3 linked regions of the Drosophila melanogaster genome follow. The protein of the gene in region 3 interacts with the protein of the main gene of each other region in a pairwise test. Each region holds a gene or a part of one and is shown on either strand. Other genes may lie near its edges.

What was found.
Region 1: the proteins of Orco (region 3) and Or43a interact in a two-hybrid assay, tested with the Drosophila melanogaster proteins (2 studies listed by BioGRID, with this or other methods).
Region 2: the proteins of Orco (region 3) and Or22a come close enough for resonance energy transfer, tested with the Drosophila melanogaster proteins (3 studies listed by BioGRID, with this or other methods).

The regions. Positions count from the first base shown.
Region 1 is NT_033778.4:7,232,297-7,236,894, forward strand, and holds Or43a (odorant receptor 43a), read right to left. Parts: upstream 2,618-4,598; 5' UTR 2,597-2,617; coding exon 2,152-2,596; intron 1,977-2,151; coding exon 1,706-1,976; intron 1,643-1,705; coding exon 1,543-1,642; intron 1,399-1,542; coding exon 1,297-1,398; intron 1,231-1,296; coding exon 1,123-1,230; intron 1,028-1,122; coding exon 923-1,027; 3' UTR 544-922; downstream 1-543.
Region 2 is NT_033779.5:1,518,720-1,522,707, reverse strand, and holds Or22a (odorant receptor 22a), read right to left. Parts: upstream 2,218-3,988; 5' UTR 2,096-2,217; coding exon 1,968-2,095; intron 1,908-1,967; coding exon 1,269-1,907; intron 1,150-1,268; coding exon 792-1,149; intron 726-791; coding exon 657-725; 3' UTR 552-656; downstream 1-551. Other genes in the region: Or22b (odorant receptor 22b), read right to left, coding at 1-5. UniProt on the Drosophila melanogaster protein: Odorant receptor which mediates acceptance or avoidance behavior, depending on its substrates. The odorant receptor repertoire encodes a large collection of odor stimuli that vary widely in identity, intensity, and duration.
Region 3 is NT_033777.3:5,406,633-5,414,165, reverse strand, and holds Orco (odorant receptor co-receptor), read left to right. Parts: upstream 1-1,759; 5' UTR 1,760-1,771; intron 1,772-3,696; exon of another isoform or gene 3,697-3,894; intron 3,895-4,241; 5' UTR 4,242-4,242; coding exon 4,243-4,550; intron 4,551-4,620; coding exon 4,621-5,135; intron 5,136-5,232; coding exon 5,233-5,458; intron 5,459-5,873; coding exon 5,874-6,078; intron 6,079-6,439; coding exon 6,440-6,595; intron 6,596-6,663; coding exon 6,664-6,714; 3' UTR 6,715-6,983; downstream 6,984-7,533. UniProt on the Drosophila melanogaster protein: Odorant coreceptor which complexes with conventional odorant receptors (ORs) to form odorant-sensing units, providing sensitive and prolonged odorant signaling and calcium permeability.

The sequences.
Region 1 (4,598 bases), on a different chromosome or scaffold from region 3:
CAGCCTTCCTACTTCCTTCGTCCTTCGTCCTTGTTGTGCTCCCGCTTAGTTGTCCTTTGGTGCTGTTGATGTTTATGCTGCTGTTCCTGCTGCCGCCGGCAATTGTTTAACTAGTTGGTGTCAGTTATAATGAATTTTAAATTAAGTTGTTATTGCTGTCGGGCCGGCATTAAACGATCCTGCTCACAGCAGCAGCAACAGAAGCAGCAGCAGTAGCAGCAGTTTATTTGCATAATAAAGGACATGACTAATGTTAATTAAATTGCACCAGACAACGACTAGTTTTTGGGCATTTTAATTAAAAGCGCAGAGGGCGACCCTCGGATATTCAAATTCGATGGGCCAGCCTGAAAGTATGCGGCGAAAATTGAGCAATAAAAAATGCATAGGGCATAAAGCACGAACTAATGCCACTCAATCAATATCAACACTAATTGCTTGGAAGACCAAATATTTACTTATTCATATCGCTGTGGAACATCCTTCTTGCCCTAATTGAAAGCCACCATCGCCGCAAATCCGAATGCTTTGATATTTGTGAATCATACTTTCGGGCATCCCGAGCAAACAGAATGGGCAGAGCCTTGGGCCGACTCCACATCCTTTTGACTTTATTCCAAGCACAACATTCAGCTGCAATCTACAATCTATTTTGTGTAACAATCTAAGAAGCCAACTATTTGCATGCCAGGATCCAGGAGCCAGGATGCCGACTCCGTGCCAGCAGTCCGATTAAATCCTTTCAAACGACAAGCATATGCAAATGCCAAACAAGCAGCCAGGACCACAGCCAGCAACAACTTTTTGCATTACCCGGATTGCTGGAAAAGCGAATGGGAAAAGGGAAAGGGAAAAGGAAAAGGAAAATAAAGGAGCAGGGGGAATATGGAAGGGGATACTCCGGTTTTTTCGGTCTTTCAGCTCATTTGCCGGTGACGCCACGCAGCATGGTAAAGTAGGAGTAGGACGCATTCAACAGACTCTGGAACATGGCCAATGTCATGGGGTAAACGTTGCCGACTCTTATCTGCAAGATGAAATGGAGCGCACAGCACCCGGAATGGAAATGGATTACAGTCCTCGCAATGACTCGCAAATGAAATGCACCCAATGCCCACCCACCTCCATCGGGTGTTGTGTTTGCATCAAGAAGATCAGGAGGGTTTTGCGAAACCGAGTTCCTGCCTCGTACCAGGGCACATTGTAAACAGCCTCCGCCACCCGGTTGTTCTGCATGGATACAAGTTATAAGGAGTCATGGATAGCTATCAAATTGAATGGAGTTGGTAGTATCACCTCGAGGCATATTTCATTGGCCCGATTGTAGTAGGTGAAGAGAACGTACAGCATGGTCAGAATGTACATCACTATCGAGATCACCTGGGTGGGTGAGGTTATCTGGAATGGTAATGGTATTTTTAAAAGGACCACAGTCTTAGATCTCGGAGTGCCACAGTGCCATAGAAGACCGCCATCCCAAAGTTTTGGTTCTTCCAATTTATGGAGGCTCTGTGGCACCCGAACTCAAAATCAGTGGCCTACAATATTCAGACAGAAGAGCAGTGAGCAGATTATCGAGCCAAAAATAATTGCTTCCACCGCCACAATGTTGGCCACCAGTTTGTTGAGCTGCCACACATAGCTGAAATGGAAATGAGCAGCTTAGAGATTTCCCCAACCCCCGATTTCTTCCCCTGCGGCTCACCGCATCACCTGCGTGTGGTACGCAATGCAGGAGGCCAGCCTTTGGAAGCGCTCCTCCTCCGACTGCTCTTCTCCGCCAATCTGGCCCAGCCTGTGTACCAGGATCTGCAGCATGGCCTTCCCAAAGATGGCCAGGCCGGCAAAAAGGCTGACGAAAGGCATGTACATCATGGACAGCAGCAGGGGCGTAGGCAGTTGGGCCAAGTAGATAACCTCGTAGACGGGTGAACTGGTCATGCTCACTCCTGGTAGAGCTAAGCCGAAGGGATGAGCTGGAAGGAAAAAAGTGACAACACCAATTGGGAATTTATATTCGAAAAACTAAGCAATGCACAAACTACTTTGCAGTTTTAACCACTATTTAGCAATTTTCCACTCTTTTACTCTACAAATATCCTTTCGATTTGAATGACGGTTATTTTAATCCCATTCTGTGAGTGTACTAACCTCTCTCCTCCCTGAAAAGCGGCGATACCAGAGCACCGACAATGTCCAGGAAGGAGGCACTCAAATTAAGGATGGCCAGGTTCCGAGCCTCCCGTTCCGCCCTCCGCAGGATGCCACGCCCCCACTCGTCGGTGGAGTCGAGAATCGAATGGAACAGAGTGGCCAGTTGGCCGAGAAACTCCTCGAACTGGCGCCGCTTGATTATGACCAGCCACGTGCGCATCAGGGCGTTGAAAATGGCCGAGAAGAAGAACATGTTCAGAATGAAGGCGGGCAGGTCGCCCCACATCCGCAGCAGGTAGACGAACTGCATCAGATTCATCGCAGTCACCGGCAGCACGAAGGCGAACTTGCGCCAGCTGGAGCCCGGAGTGGGGTACAGCACGGCCAAGTGTCGCCACATCCGCACGTTGATGCCCACCAGGCCGATATCCTCGATTGTCATTGCTCGGCACTTTCTATAAGCTCCTTACCGGCAGATCCACTCCAGACTGTGCTGCAAAGTGCTGGGCAAATGTCTTTTATTCTGCACCAATTGTCGCCATCGAGGAGGGCAATCTGCGGGCTAGCGATTGACACTATAAACGGAAGTGGCAGTACGATTCGAAATGGAAGTGGGATTGGGAAGTGGGAAATGGGAAATGGGCATTGGGATTGGGAACTGAGGCCATTTGGCACTTGTCGTCGCACAGCCTATAATTTAGCTAATTGGCTAATGATGAGTGTAATGTAATTGAAGTTCGATTGCGATTGCCATTCCCATGGGGCGCAGAGCTGGGCTGATTGGAAATCCAGCCGAAGAGATTTGCATTTCCAATTGCATTAATGCCCTCAATCGGGTTATCTAATAATCGAATTCAAATTAAATCGTTTTTATTGGAAATTTTAGATATTATGTCAGCAGAGCTTAATGTCAGTATTGCTGTTTAAATATTTCATATTTTAAAAATAGAAGTAAGAGGCGTATTTAAATGGCCTTTTATTAAGCGTATTAAAGTGTTTTTTGTTTTGATTTTTGTTACATATACAATTGAATCTGAAGTGAAATTGTTTTACCAACTCCTTAAACTGCGTTTATTTGTATAGTTTATTGTGCATAAACATATTTAAAATGTTCCCTTAAATACAGCCTTTCATTGAATTGCTTGTAAATTAATGAAAATATGACTAGCTTAAAGAGTAAGCAACTTAGACTAATGAAATCTAGAAAGTAATAGAAATAAGCATGATTTTATCCTGATTAATCCTGGTGGAATGTATGTAGTTTAGGTGGCATCATAGATACTCTTTAAATGAGTTGGAAAAACAAATATTTTCCCAGCAACCAATGAGTCAACCGAGCGTTCCCTTTAAACTAAAGCTCTCGCTGAGCGAATATGTAAATCCCCATTTAATTTGGCCATCGATTTTGCCATGCTCTTCCGAGCCAGTCGCATGGGAGATGAGCAATCGAGTGGACGTGTTCACAGAAGTCGCGGATAAAACAAAAACGTAATTGTGATCCATCACAAACATTTGCGCAGATCGTGTGCTTATCTCACAAACAAAATCTATTTTTAGTCACTGCATAACGGTGACGGCTTCGGTTCGCGAAACTTATCAGCAACTAGCAATTTCTAAGCTGTGTTGTTTTTGCCCCTCGCCCTGCGCGCTGCGCAAGCGGGAGGTTGTTACAATTTACCTTACAAGTAAACCGGTAAATCTTATCGTGTTTAGTAAATATCAATTGCATTATACGGCATAAGTATAAAGACAATTGATATAATGGAGAATTCATTTGCTCAATCGCGACCTAGCAATGGGTGCGATAAATTTGAGAAAATGAGGAAAGTAGCAGGTGTTGAGCCAGGAGAATTACGCTCCCAACTCCGCGCCAGCTGTGCAGTTGTTTCCCCTAACCTGGAAGGTATGCCAACTCAATCTACGGTCTCCAGCTTAATGGTGACAATCAGCAGCAACACCAATGCAAGTGTTACCTGCACTATTTCTAACGTACAGGCCAACATGATCTGTACTCCTACATACACTGATTGCACAACCGTGACCACTAGCATTTGCCCAACTACGCCTTATGACAATGGACTGCCGACACCTCTGTCATCACTGCCCAATAAGCCATCTAAAGCGAAATGCCCCTTTCAAGCACATGATCGTACTGTCAACAGGAAACGAAAAGGCGTGTCTCAGCCCCCATTACCTATCCTCACCCCTTCTCCAAGCCGTAAAACTAAAAGGCAGGCCACTATGCCACTCAATGAGGAGGCCTCTACCTCCACTGCAGCAGCATTAAATAACAATCGCTTCGCGCTTTTGTCTGCTGAAGCGGAGAATATGGAGCAAGACGTGTCGGATGCTGATTCTGACATTGAAGACTCTGCTGCCCGAGATGGTGGTGGACAATCCGCTAAATATAGCAAACCCCCAGCCATATGCGTACCAAGTGTAAG
Region 2 (3,988 bases), on a different chromosome or scaffold from region 3:
AACATTTCGTCCGTGGCTCTTTTTGATTATTTGCTTGAGCTGGAAAACAGTGCTTTTTATAGGCCGCCTCACTGTTGCAAATGGTCTCACATGACTTGGCGATTTCAAGAACTTAAGCTTTGTTTCGTATTTGCTAAAAGTTTTCCGGGAATGTCACCGGGGAAAACGTTAACAAATGTATGGTTCCATTCGACCACAATCACCTACAAACTACACCTTCACACCTAAAAGGAAAATATAAGTAAAAAAAAAAGTTTAAAATCGATCAATTAACCAAGAAACTCTTCTTAAAGAGTTTGTATGAATTATACATTTCCCTTGTATTCTCTCACATATTTTGTTTTTGTAGCTTTTATATGTTTCGGTTTTTTTTTTTGTAAGTAACTACATTAGTTATTTGGCAATAATGCATTTTATTAAGTGGACAGTTGTGGTGTATCCGACCCATGCACCTTCCTTTGCGAAAAACTGCAGTATTCCAGTTTGTCTGGCTTTCAAAACTCTTCCACCCGAGGGCGCCACAAAGTTTGATATATATGAAAAACAGTGATATTACTAAATATTTATTAGGGTACAGCAATATATAATATAAAATAATATATATATAATATAATATAATATATAATATAATAGTAGCAGAGCTCGTCCCTCTCAACTTATTGAAACCTTTCGGCCAAGTTAAATTGCTTAATTACCGTAACCACAGAAAATGCCAGCTTCACCATCTATAATAACAAAGTAATTTAAAATAGGTGTAAAATCAATGATATATCTAAAATATTGACACCCACAGCCAAATTTGTTTGCATGGAAATAGGAAACACTCCACCAGCCGTGAGAGTAATGGGTTGCTGAAGATTGTGAAGAAAGTATACCAACGTGGATTTGTAGCGACGATCGGCAGAGGTCCAGTCCGATTGAAAGAGGCAATTGGACATTTCCTGGCAGTCATCGATAATCATGTTGCACAAATAGCAAAAGGGGAACGTCTCCATGGACACGTCGAACATAAAAAGGCAAGTGGCGACACCAGTCCAAAATGTCGAGAAGAACATTAGATTTATCATTGAGAGACCCAGTACAGTACCGATCAGGAGGAACTGCACAAAAATGGTTCCCGAAAAGACGGGTCGCAATGCGTCAACATAGCTAAGAAATAAAAAAAGGCCATTAATAAAAAGGAAAGGAATAGAAGAAAACTGTTTCAAATATTTCATTTTACTATGTCTTTGCGACACAGTGTTCTTGTAGCATTTGAAACACCTTACTCCAATAGCAATCGATGATCCCGAATGCACTCGGTGAGCTCCTCCAAGTACTCATCTTCGGTCCTTCCTGGCTTCGATCGGAGATTTCTCAGTCGCTGTTTCAGGAGGCTAATGTGGCATCGAGCCATAAGCATGGAGATCAAGGGACACACGTCCGTACAGAGATCCATGTAGATGGCCTCCGTCATCAGAAAACACTCGGCGATGCTGGAGATGTAAAACTGTTCGTCGGAATCGATATATGGAAAGTACATGCGCCAAGCATGGCGTCTCTCAAGCAGAAAATACGGGAAGTTCATTACCACGAAGGTGGAGTAAAAAATGTGATACAAAATATCGAAAAAGTTTCCCATGGCGACATAGCGATGAACAGTGGACCTCTCCTTATCGCTAAGGCATCTCTTGTCCAGCTGATCCAGTAAAACCTTAGCTTCCTGTCTTTTCTTGAATCCAATCAAGGTGAAGGCGCACTTAAAAGAGCTTCCGTACATGTTGACTCCAATCTCGAGGGAACTAAGGAACTCCCCCGCCGAGAAGGTTTTAAATCGGTGGAGGTACTCGATGCTTATCGAGATCGGCAGAAGGATGAGCATTACTATGTTCACGAACGCTAACCACAGTTTATAAGGAAGGATCCACCTTTACGGGAAATTATGGTAGCTTTAATACTTATATATGTGCTTACATTGATTTCATTACCTTTTGTTTTCAGGCTCTGTCCAGCCAAAGGACCACATCACCCGATCCAAGTAAATGAAGGCATCTCGGGACTTAACCCGCTCGCTCAATGGCTTTTCTTTTATGTGGGGAAAAAACTTGCTTAACATCTTGTCCGTGGCTTTGTTTGAATATTTGCTTGAGCTGGGAAACAGTGCTTTTTATAGGCTGCCTCACTGTTGCAAATGGTCTCACATGACTTGGCGGTTTTAAGAGCTTTAGTTCTGTTTCGTATTTGCTGTAAGTTTTTAAAGAATGTCAGTAGAAAATGTCATATGACATTTAATCGACCGCAGGTTACATTTCAGCTGAATGGAATTATGCTCGTTCAACGATCAGGAACTTAACAAGCAATTTACCGAGTAAAACACTACCAAAAATACATTAATTCGCCATACATCTTCATACGACCATACTGAACCGAATTCCCCTTTTCCCGCCCAATATCATTGCCTTTCGTCTGACATTGCGTTGACCATTGGCGGTGTTAATCAATGCCACCGCGATGGCATGCAACCGAAAAATGATTGCCGCCAAACACATTATCTGTATTATTAATGAGCTGCATGCCGCAGACTGCACTCGTGAAAAATATGCGGCTTAAATTTGATTTATAATTTCCGAAATATATTCTAAAAATGTATAAAAATGATGATGTGCTGAAGACCTTGAAAGGCACACAATGAATTAAATAGAAGAGATTAAACGTGTATCAATCATATTATAAATATATTTTATGTATTACAGCAAATCTTTAGACAACTTTACAGATCCCAAATGACTTTAAAACAATTTCAAAGATATAATATAAAGTTTGGACATCATTTAAGCTTTCGCTACGTGCATCGAGTGTCCTGTAAATTGGCATCATTGTTGATTGAGTTGATCGAGGGACCCGCTGCGGGTTTCCCCGACCAAACATCTCTCTTTAGAGCACTTTGCACAGCACATTGCATTCTCATTATAGCCTTGCTTTTCGGGTGTTTAATTAATTGAAAGCATTTTTGCCAGCGTTTGCGGCCGCTTTCCCTTTTGCCAATTTCACGGAGAGTGTGAAGCGTCGACCGTAATAATATTGACTCATTGGCGTTGAGGACGGACATCCAGACATACAAATGCACACAAAAGGACCTTCGTGAACATGCAAATTAAATGCATTCGGCGGAGACAACCCGTCCATGTGCCCGCCCTAGAATCTTTTGTCGGTTCTGGTAATTAATCGGAATATTTTACATTTTTTTTTTCCGGCTCATGGTAGAGAGACGAAATTTAAAATTCAATCAGCGTCTGCAGTGCGCAATCCAATTTAAGTTATAAAGATGGGTGGGTATTGGCAAATTATGATCCTTCCAGATCGTGCATTTTATTCCTAATGGGTATATTTTTGTGTAAACGATCGAAACGGGCTTTTTTGCATTTTTTAATTTTTAAGTTATCGCGAGTTTCACAAGCTATAATTAAATCATTGAAAAGTCAACTTAAGTAGAGGTTACACAGTTTACAAACTCATCTTTAAATCAACGATTCCTGGAAAATATACCATATGTGTGAATTCAGACTGATTCTCATCGTTGGTCATTGAAGTCTAGTCTAAATTGTGACCGAAACACCACAGAATATGGTACAAAAAAAGAAAACAACCGAACTATTACTATTATTTTTGGTTTTAATTGGCTATTCCTCTAACTAATTAAAACTGTGGCGACAGTAGCTATTATATGCTTGACTAATTTACAACATATTCCGGTTACAAACAACGTATACATAACATAAATTTATTGACGGCGATCTGATGACAAATGGATTGGTACGCACGCAAATATTTTGGAATTTAAGTGATTAAGTTTTTTAAGTGGTAATGTTTAAGGGTGAAAAATATATATATGAGAACATCGCTATTAAAGTAATGCATATACACGATAAATGTACTTTAACATATTTATTTTAGCTTGTTTTGGGTAAGTTCAACTAATTATATCAATATATGTGTAATTCCATACTAT
Region 3 (7,533 bases):
ATATTATATACATATATATATAAGAGAGAACCCAAAATGGTATCTAAGCAGAAGTGCAACAATATAAAATTAAGCTTAGAATTATTATTATTTTAATAGCTATCACTATCGATTTGCACATTTTTATCCGTATGAAAATAAAAATTAGGCAAGACACTTAAAATTAAGCATGCAAATTCTAATCACATGATTATTATAGATTCTATTAATACTACTACTGAGCCAACTTATATCGATATTCAAATAATATTTGTATTTTAATCTTCCACACGTTATATAGGCATATTTAATGCACCTCATGCTTTTACATAATTGCCGAAAGAGTGGCAACGTCTTGCCACAGCGTCTCTTATAATTTTAAACTCGTGGAGCTGAGCCATCTCAGATTTAACTCTCCCTGCGCATGCTCTCGCGTGGGAGAACAACTTCGAATTTCGGGCAGAAGGATAACAAAGAAAGCACTCCAACGAAACGAACACCCTACAGACTAATATAGAACACCACAAGACCAAAACTCGTTTAGTTGCCGCGTTGACAACTTTGTGGCAGGCGGCAAACAAACAAACCTCACACTAGTCCTGAATGTCCTTTATGCGGACAGCTGTGGGGGCGGGGATCCTGTTGCAATTCCATTGTGAAAGCCAAATGCATTGACCTGCTTAGACAGCTGAGAGATTTACAACTCCCCTATAACTCCTGGCCGTGCTGCAGTTCTGGGAAAGGGAGCAGCGGCATTAAATGGCAAATAAATCTAAAGTTAAACTTTTGACACTGTCTCGGCGAGCAGCCACGAAGGCACTTCCTTCCGACTCCCTCGACTTCCGGTTGGAATCTGTCGCCCTGTCAGCGGCAACAGAAGAAGTGACACTGGCACGCAGACAAGTGCACTGAGAGAAATTGCTTCGGTCATAGCTCAGTGAAATACTAATTATTTCTGCTGAGAAATATTGACAATTTAAAACAAAAGTCATAAAATATGAGCATACATTTTTTATGATTAACTAAATACTAATGCATTCGTTAAATATATATATACCGCCGAAAACAAATTAAGACATTTCCTATTCTGTCAATTACAATTTCATATTCAGTTATATTGTTTTAAACTAAACTGGCGATATATAAACTTTCTGGCTGAAAAATCTTTCTGAAATTGTACACCAGCAATTTCTCCATGTGTACTACTGTGCGATGTATAAGGATTGGATTTATGAGCGCCCAGCACCTCTACCGAAATCTTATAAAACCCGGGAATAAATAATAATAATTCTTGCGCTTTTCGCTGTTGTTCGCATTTCCCGCATTTCTCTGCCATTCTTTTCCATTCTTATGACAATGTCAACATTTCTTTTGCTCCCCTAATGGCCTGAAGAAAGCACACGCACACACACACACACATATAGACCACTCGCACACTATGAAACCGAATGTGGCACACACCCCACGCACTTATTTATATGTATTTTCGATCGTCTGTTGTTTTTCCAAGTCGGTTATGCATAGCCATAAATTCTGGTAAAAGCCTTCTGTAGGTCGAGGGCCACGGCGGTCCGAAAATAAAGGAATTGCTCCTGATGCTGGCACTTACGCACACAGCCAAGCAGCAGGATGGGAGAGAGAGGACCTCGCACACACGGACTCACGCACTCACACGCAATTGGTGTTCTCGCCGTTTTTGTTTGTCACTTAACAGATTTTTCTGTCCTTGCTGGGTATTGATTTCTAATTTTTCCTTCGTCGGCTTTGCGCCCCAAAGAGGTTTTTATAATGTGTGCGTGTGTGTGTGTGTGTGTGTCGCATTGATTTCGCAATTTATGGGCGATTTGATGGATTGCTTGAATAACTTTATATGCTTATTTTTGAGTTTTTATTGTTTTACAACTTGCGGTATTTTATGTAGAGATCCTGTGGACGACCTAATGGAAATCATTTGGTTTTGGCTGAAATGCGGCCATAAAGGTGTGAATCAAAATAATGTTGCCTATACTTCGGGTATATCATTTCATATGGAAAGCGCTTAATAATAATTATATAAATATATAATTTCTAGTTAATGTGACTTTATTAACCCATTAGTGCGTTTTAATCATTTAATTTGGCATCAGAATCGATCACAGTCACGAACACAAAAGCGTAATGGTAAAAATAAAGGCTCATTTGTTTAAGTTGTAAATTAAATAAAGCAAGTGTCACTTTCCATTTAAATGTTGCCTAATAATTAATGACAAAAGGCTGCAGGGCTCACGATGTCCGCGGTTAGCTAATTGATCCAAACGCATCCGCGTAATTAAACTTTCAGCCACAAGCCCATAAAATAAATCAAAAAGCGAAGGACCGAAAGGGGCAACATTTAGGGGGGGGGGGCTTGTTTCGCATGGCTGAGTTCAGGACGATTAAACGTTAAATCAATATTGTTAAATCCCCGCTCGCATCCCCGCAATCCACACAGGCAAGTGTTCACGTATTAATTGATGTTCGTGAGTGTCCTGCATTTAAATAATCCATGATTTGGGACATCTGTGTCTGAGTTCCCATTCATATATGTATGCATATGTGTATATGAGTGGTGGAAACTAGCTGCAGATATAGCTACAGACACAGATACATTTACATTCCGGCACATAGTTTTAAGTGTGATTCAGTTATTCACAATAGTCGCCGCTTTTTGTTCTTGCCACGTTTTAATATTGTCACAACTAGTTTCGAATAACTAAATTGGATGTTTTCGATTAGCATTCAATACACTGCTCAGCAATTTCGTTTGCGTTGCAATTTGAGTACTAGATTTTGAATTAGACAATTGTTTTATTAATTGCCTACATGTATATTACCTAACTGATTTCGAAGGCCACTTGTACGACCTTGAGATAGAGTATTAATTATTTAAATTCTACTGTATTATAATTGCAAAGAATTGTAAGTATTCATAATATATAATGGCAACCCAATTTAAGACTTCTTTTGAAGGCCCCCGCCTACCGAAATTCAGTGCCTATGAGAACTGAGAACGAAAAAAATTGAGCAAGGACCAAATATCCATCAGGCTGAACACACACATTTTCATGCAAATAGGCAATGTGTTATTTTTTTGGGTCAGCGATTCACGGAGGGATCCCCACCAAATGGGTTGGCTGAGGAATGGCCTATCCCCATATCTCAGCGGCACTTGGGGCAGGCCAACAAATACAAGCAGGCATAATAAAATAATCGATGCTTTTAAAATTTGCATAAGTTTGGATACCGCAGATGCCGCGCAAGGATGAGCCCATCTCCAGTCCCAGTGCCATTCCGCCAGTGCGCATACGCCGCGTGGAGGGCACAGGACTGGGCCATGGCCCATGGCCCAAAAGCGGAGTCCTAGACCCGGAGACGACAGCAGTGGTGGACAAGTTCGTGGGCGTTCGATTTAATTGTGGGAATTCTGCGTCTGCCACGCACCCATCACATCGATGGACGTGGCTGAAGAGCTGAATTTTTAAGCGCTCCAAGGCGGCCCGATACCCATATTGTATATTTTCATTACCATGTGTGGGTCGGAGTGAAAGTCGCGGGCTAGGATTTAATGTGGCCTTGTTGCAGCCGTGGGAACTCGTCCTCAAAGTACACGTCCTTATGTACAGCGGAGCAAGTACCTAGCCGACAGAAGGAGCAGGCACTTGTCGACAGAGCTTTTTAACCTTCCGGATTTCACATTTCATTACCGTCGACATCGCGGTGCTGGCAGGTCAACTGTGTCCTGGTTCCGGAAAGCCTCATATCTCGTATCTTAAAGTATCCCGGTTAAGCCTTAAAGAGTGAAATGATTGCCTAGATGATTGCTGCATTACTGGCACTCAATTAACCCAAGTGTACCAGACAACAATTACATTTGTATTTTTAAAGTTCAATAGCAAGGTAATAGCACTGGGTCTTTCAATATTACAATATTACCAATTAGAGAACCATATATCGTACACAATTGTTCCACATTCCGAATTTAATAACTCACGATCGATAGCCAAATTAATATTAATTTGAGAGGACATGAGTCCACCTGAATATTCAATATGCATTATACATTATCCCGCTATGAATAAAACATTCCAAATCGATTCATTTCGGGCAGGAAAATTCCTTTTCTACTCGGCAAGCAAACCAAGGACTAATCACAAATACGGAATATTGAACAGATTACGTTCATAATAGCTGATTGTGTTGGCGAAACCTATTAATTTTGTCGTGCAATTTCCGCCGCTCAACAGGATGACAACCTCGATGCAGCCGAGCAAGTACACGGGCCTGGTCGCCGACCTGATGCCCAACATCCGGGCGATGAAGTACTCCGGCCTGTTCATGCACAACTTCACGGGCGGCAGTGCCTTCATGAAGAAGGTGTACTCCTCCGTGCACCTGGTGTTCCTCCTCATGCAGTTCACCTTCATCCTGGTCAACATGGCCCTGAACGCCGAGGAGGTCAACGAGCTGTCGGGCAACACGATCACGACCCTCTTCTTCACCCACTGCATCACGAAGTTTATCTACCTGGCTGTTAACCAGAAGAATTTCTACAGGTGAGCCTCTGCTCACCGCACCGAGCTTACGAACACTTGGGGAATTTAAAATTTTATGTTTTTCCGGCAGAACATTGAATATATGGAACCAGGTGAACACGCATCCCTTGTTCGCCGAGTCGGATGCTCGTTACCATTCGATCGCACTGGCGAAGATGAGGAAGCTGTTCTTTCTGGTGATGCTGACCACAGTCGCCTCGGCCACCGCCTGGACCACGATCACCTTCTTTGGCGACAGCGTAAAAATGGTGGTGGACCATGAGACGAACTCCAGCATCCCGGTGGAGATACCCCGGCTGCCGATTAAGTCCTTCTACCCGTGGAACGCCAGCCACGGCATGTTCTACATGATCAGCTTTGCCTTTCAGATCTACTACGTGCTCTTCTCGATGATCCACTCCAATCTATGCGACGTGATGTTCTGCTCTTGGCTGATATTCGCCTGCGAGCAGCTGCAGCACTTGAAGGGCATCATGAAGCCGCTGATGGAGCTGTCCGCCTCGCTGGACACCTACAGGCCCAACTCGGCGGCCCTCTTCAGGTCCCTGTCGGCCAACTCCAAGTCGGAGCTAATTCATAATGAAGGTGATTTGTTGAGTCTGAACCTAAACTTTTAGGCGGTTATTCAGTGAGCACTTCACTGAATAGGAAAATGCCATGACGAGCTGTTTTTCCATTGCAGAAAAGGATCCCGGCACCGACATGGACATGTCGGGCATCTACAGCTCGAAAGCGGATTGGGGCGCTCAGTTTCGAGCACCCTCGACACTGCAGTCCTTTGGCGGGAACGGGGGCGGAGGCAACGGGTTGGTGAACGGCGCTAATCCCAACGGGCTGACCAAAAAGCAGGAGATGATGGTGCGCAGTGCCATCAAGTACTGGGTCGAGCGGCACAAGCACGTGGTGCGGTGAGTTCAAATCCTGGCCAAATTGGACCAGCCATTTCAAGGGGGCTTTGGCCAGTGATGATTGGATTTTTGGCGATTTAAATGGCAGAGCAGTCCACTCATATTTCATGGACTTGGATTTTTGCCTTTAACAGAGCACCGAACATAATAAACACACACACTTTCCCCTCAGTTTTGTAAAACTTCAATAGGCGCCATCGGAACATGTGTTCTCATTTATTAGGAGCTCAACAGATCCCTGCAGCTTGTTTGACTTACTTGATTACTTCCTCAATTGCAATCATTGTTGGGGGCCCTAGAGGAATGTCCTTGTTTGTCCTGTCCGACAGTTGGCGTGTGCAGTTGTTGATACCAATATTGACTTGATTCCTGCCTGCAATCCCTCATCCTTTCCCCCGTTGCCTTTTCCCCACAGACTGGTGGCTGCCATCGGCGATACTTACGGAGCCGCCCTCCTCCTCCACATGCTGACCTCGACCATCAAGCTGACCCTGCTGGCATACCAGGCCACCAAAATCAACGGAGTGAATGTCTACGCCTTCACAGTCGTCGGATACCTAGGATACGCGCTGGCCCAGGTGTTCCACTTTTGCATCTTTGGCAATCGTCTGATTGAAGAGGTGAGTTTGTGCAGGGTTGCAAGATAAATTTATAAGTAAATCAGACATCAGTCTCAACTGATTAATAATCGAGAACATCCTTATTTGAGTTATAGGGATATTTATAAAAAATTTTGAGACTTCATTAAAACTAAATGAATTGTAAGTTGAGAGTCAACAGATTGGTCCGTTCACTACAAGCTAACCAGTGTGTTTTTTCCATGTGGTAGAAATAAAAGGGTGTTTTTGCGTATGAGATAAAATTGAACCAATGTTTTCAAGTTTATAGATTGGGAAACATACATAGTTCTAAACGTTGTTATAGTTATAGTTTGTGTAGTTAGTTATCTAGAGCATCCTTAATACGACTTTCATTTCGCAGAGTTCATCCGTCATGGAGGCCGCCTACTCGTGCCACTGGTACGATGGCTCCGAGGAGGCCAAGACCTTCGTCCAGATCGTGTGCCAGCAGTGCCAGAAGGCGATGAGCATATCGGGAGCGAAATTCTTCACCGTCTCCCTGGATTTGTTTGCTTCGGTTTGTTGCATTTGATTTATTGATCTATTGATGGAGTTAAAACTGAATCGGATATTCCCGATTCGCAGGTTCTGGGTGCCGTCGTCACCTACTTTATGGTGCTGGTGCAGCTCAAGTAAGTTGCTGCGAAGCTGATGGATTTTTGTACCAGAAAAGCGAATGCCAAGAAGCCACCTACCGCCCCTTGCCCCCTCCGCACTGTGCAACCAGCAATATCACAGAGCAATTATAACGCAAATTATATATTTTATACCTGCGACGAGCGAGCCTCGTGGGGCATAATGGAGACATTCTGGGGCACATAGAAGCCTGCAAATACTTATCGATTTTGTACACGCGTAGAGCTTTTAATGTAAACCCAAGATGCAAACTAAATAAATGTGTAGTGAAACTCGAAGGTTTAATGGGGGGTTAATAGAATAGAAACAGGCGGAGTTTATTTCATTTTAAATTTCGAATTCATTCGAATTTATTTGCATCTTAAGTATTAATATATATATATATTCTGCATATACAATATAAAATCTAGAATATTGTCAACTATAATATATTTTGGTTTAGCAAACTCAAATAGAGAACTGTTTCTCAATTACTTTAATGTGTGTTATGAACTTTTTTTTCTGAGCTCCATTGTTAAATTGCTAGTTTAGATTCAAGTTGGGTCAGGAGCGGCTTGTAGTCCATCAATTAGTTTTAATTCAATAATTATCGGTGCTGTTCACATGATAAGCGTGGAATTTAATGGGCTAGACGCCGTGTTTATCGCATCACTGGCTTGCATGCCGCAATTTTCACGGCAAACGTATGTGCAAAACGAACTAAATTTAGGAATAAATGCGGATTATAATCATAATCTTTGGGCCGTAGTCGTTTTGGCCACATTTTTGGCAACTGTTGGCGCAACAGCAGAAGCAGTATGAGTACGATTAGAAACGGCC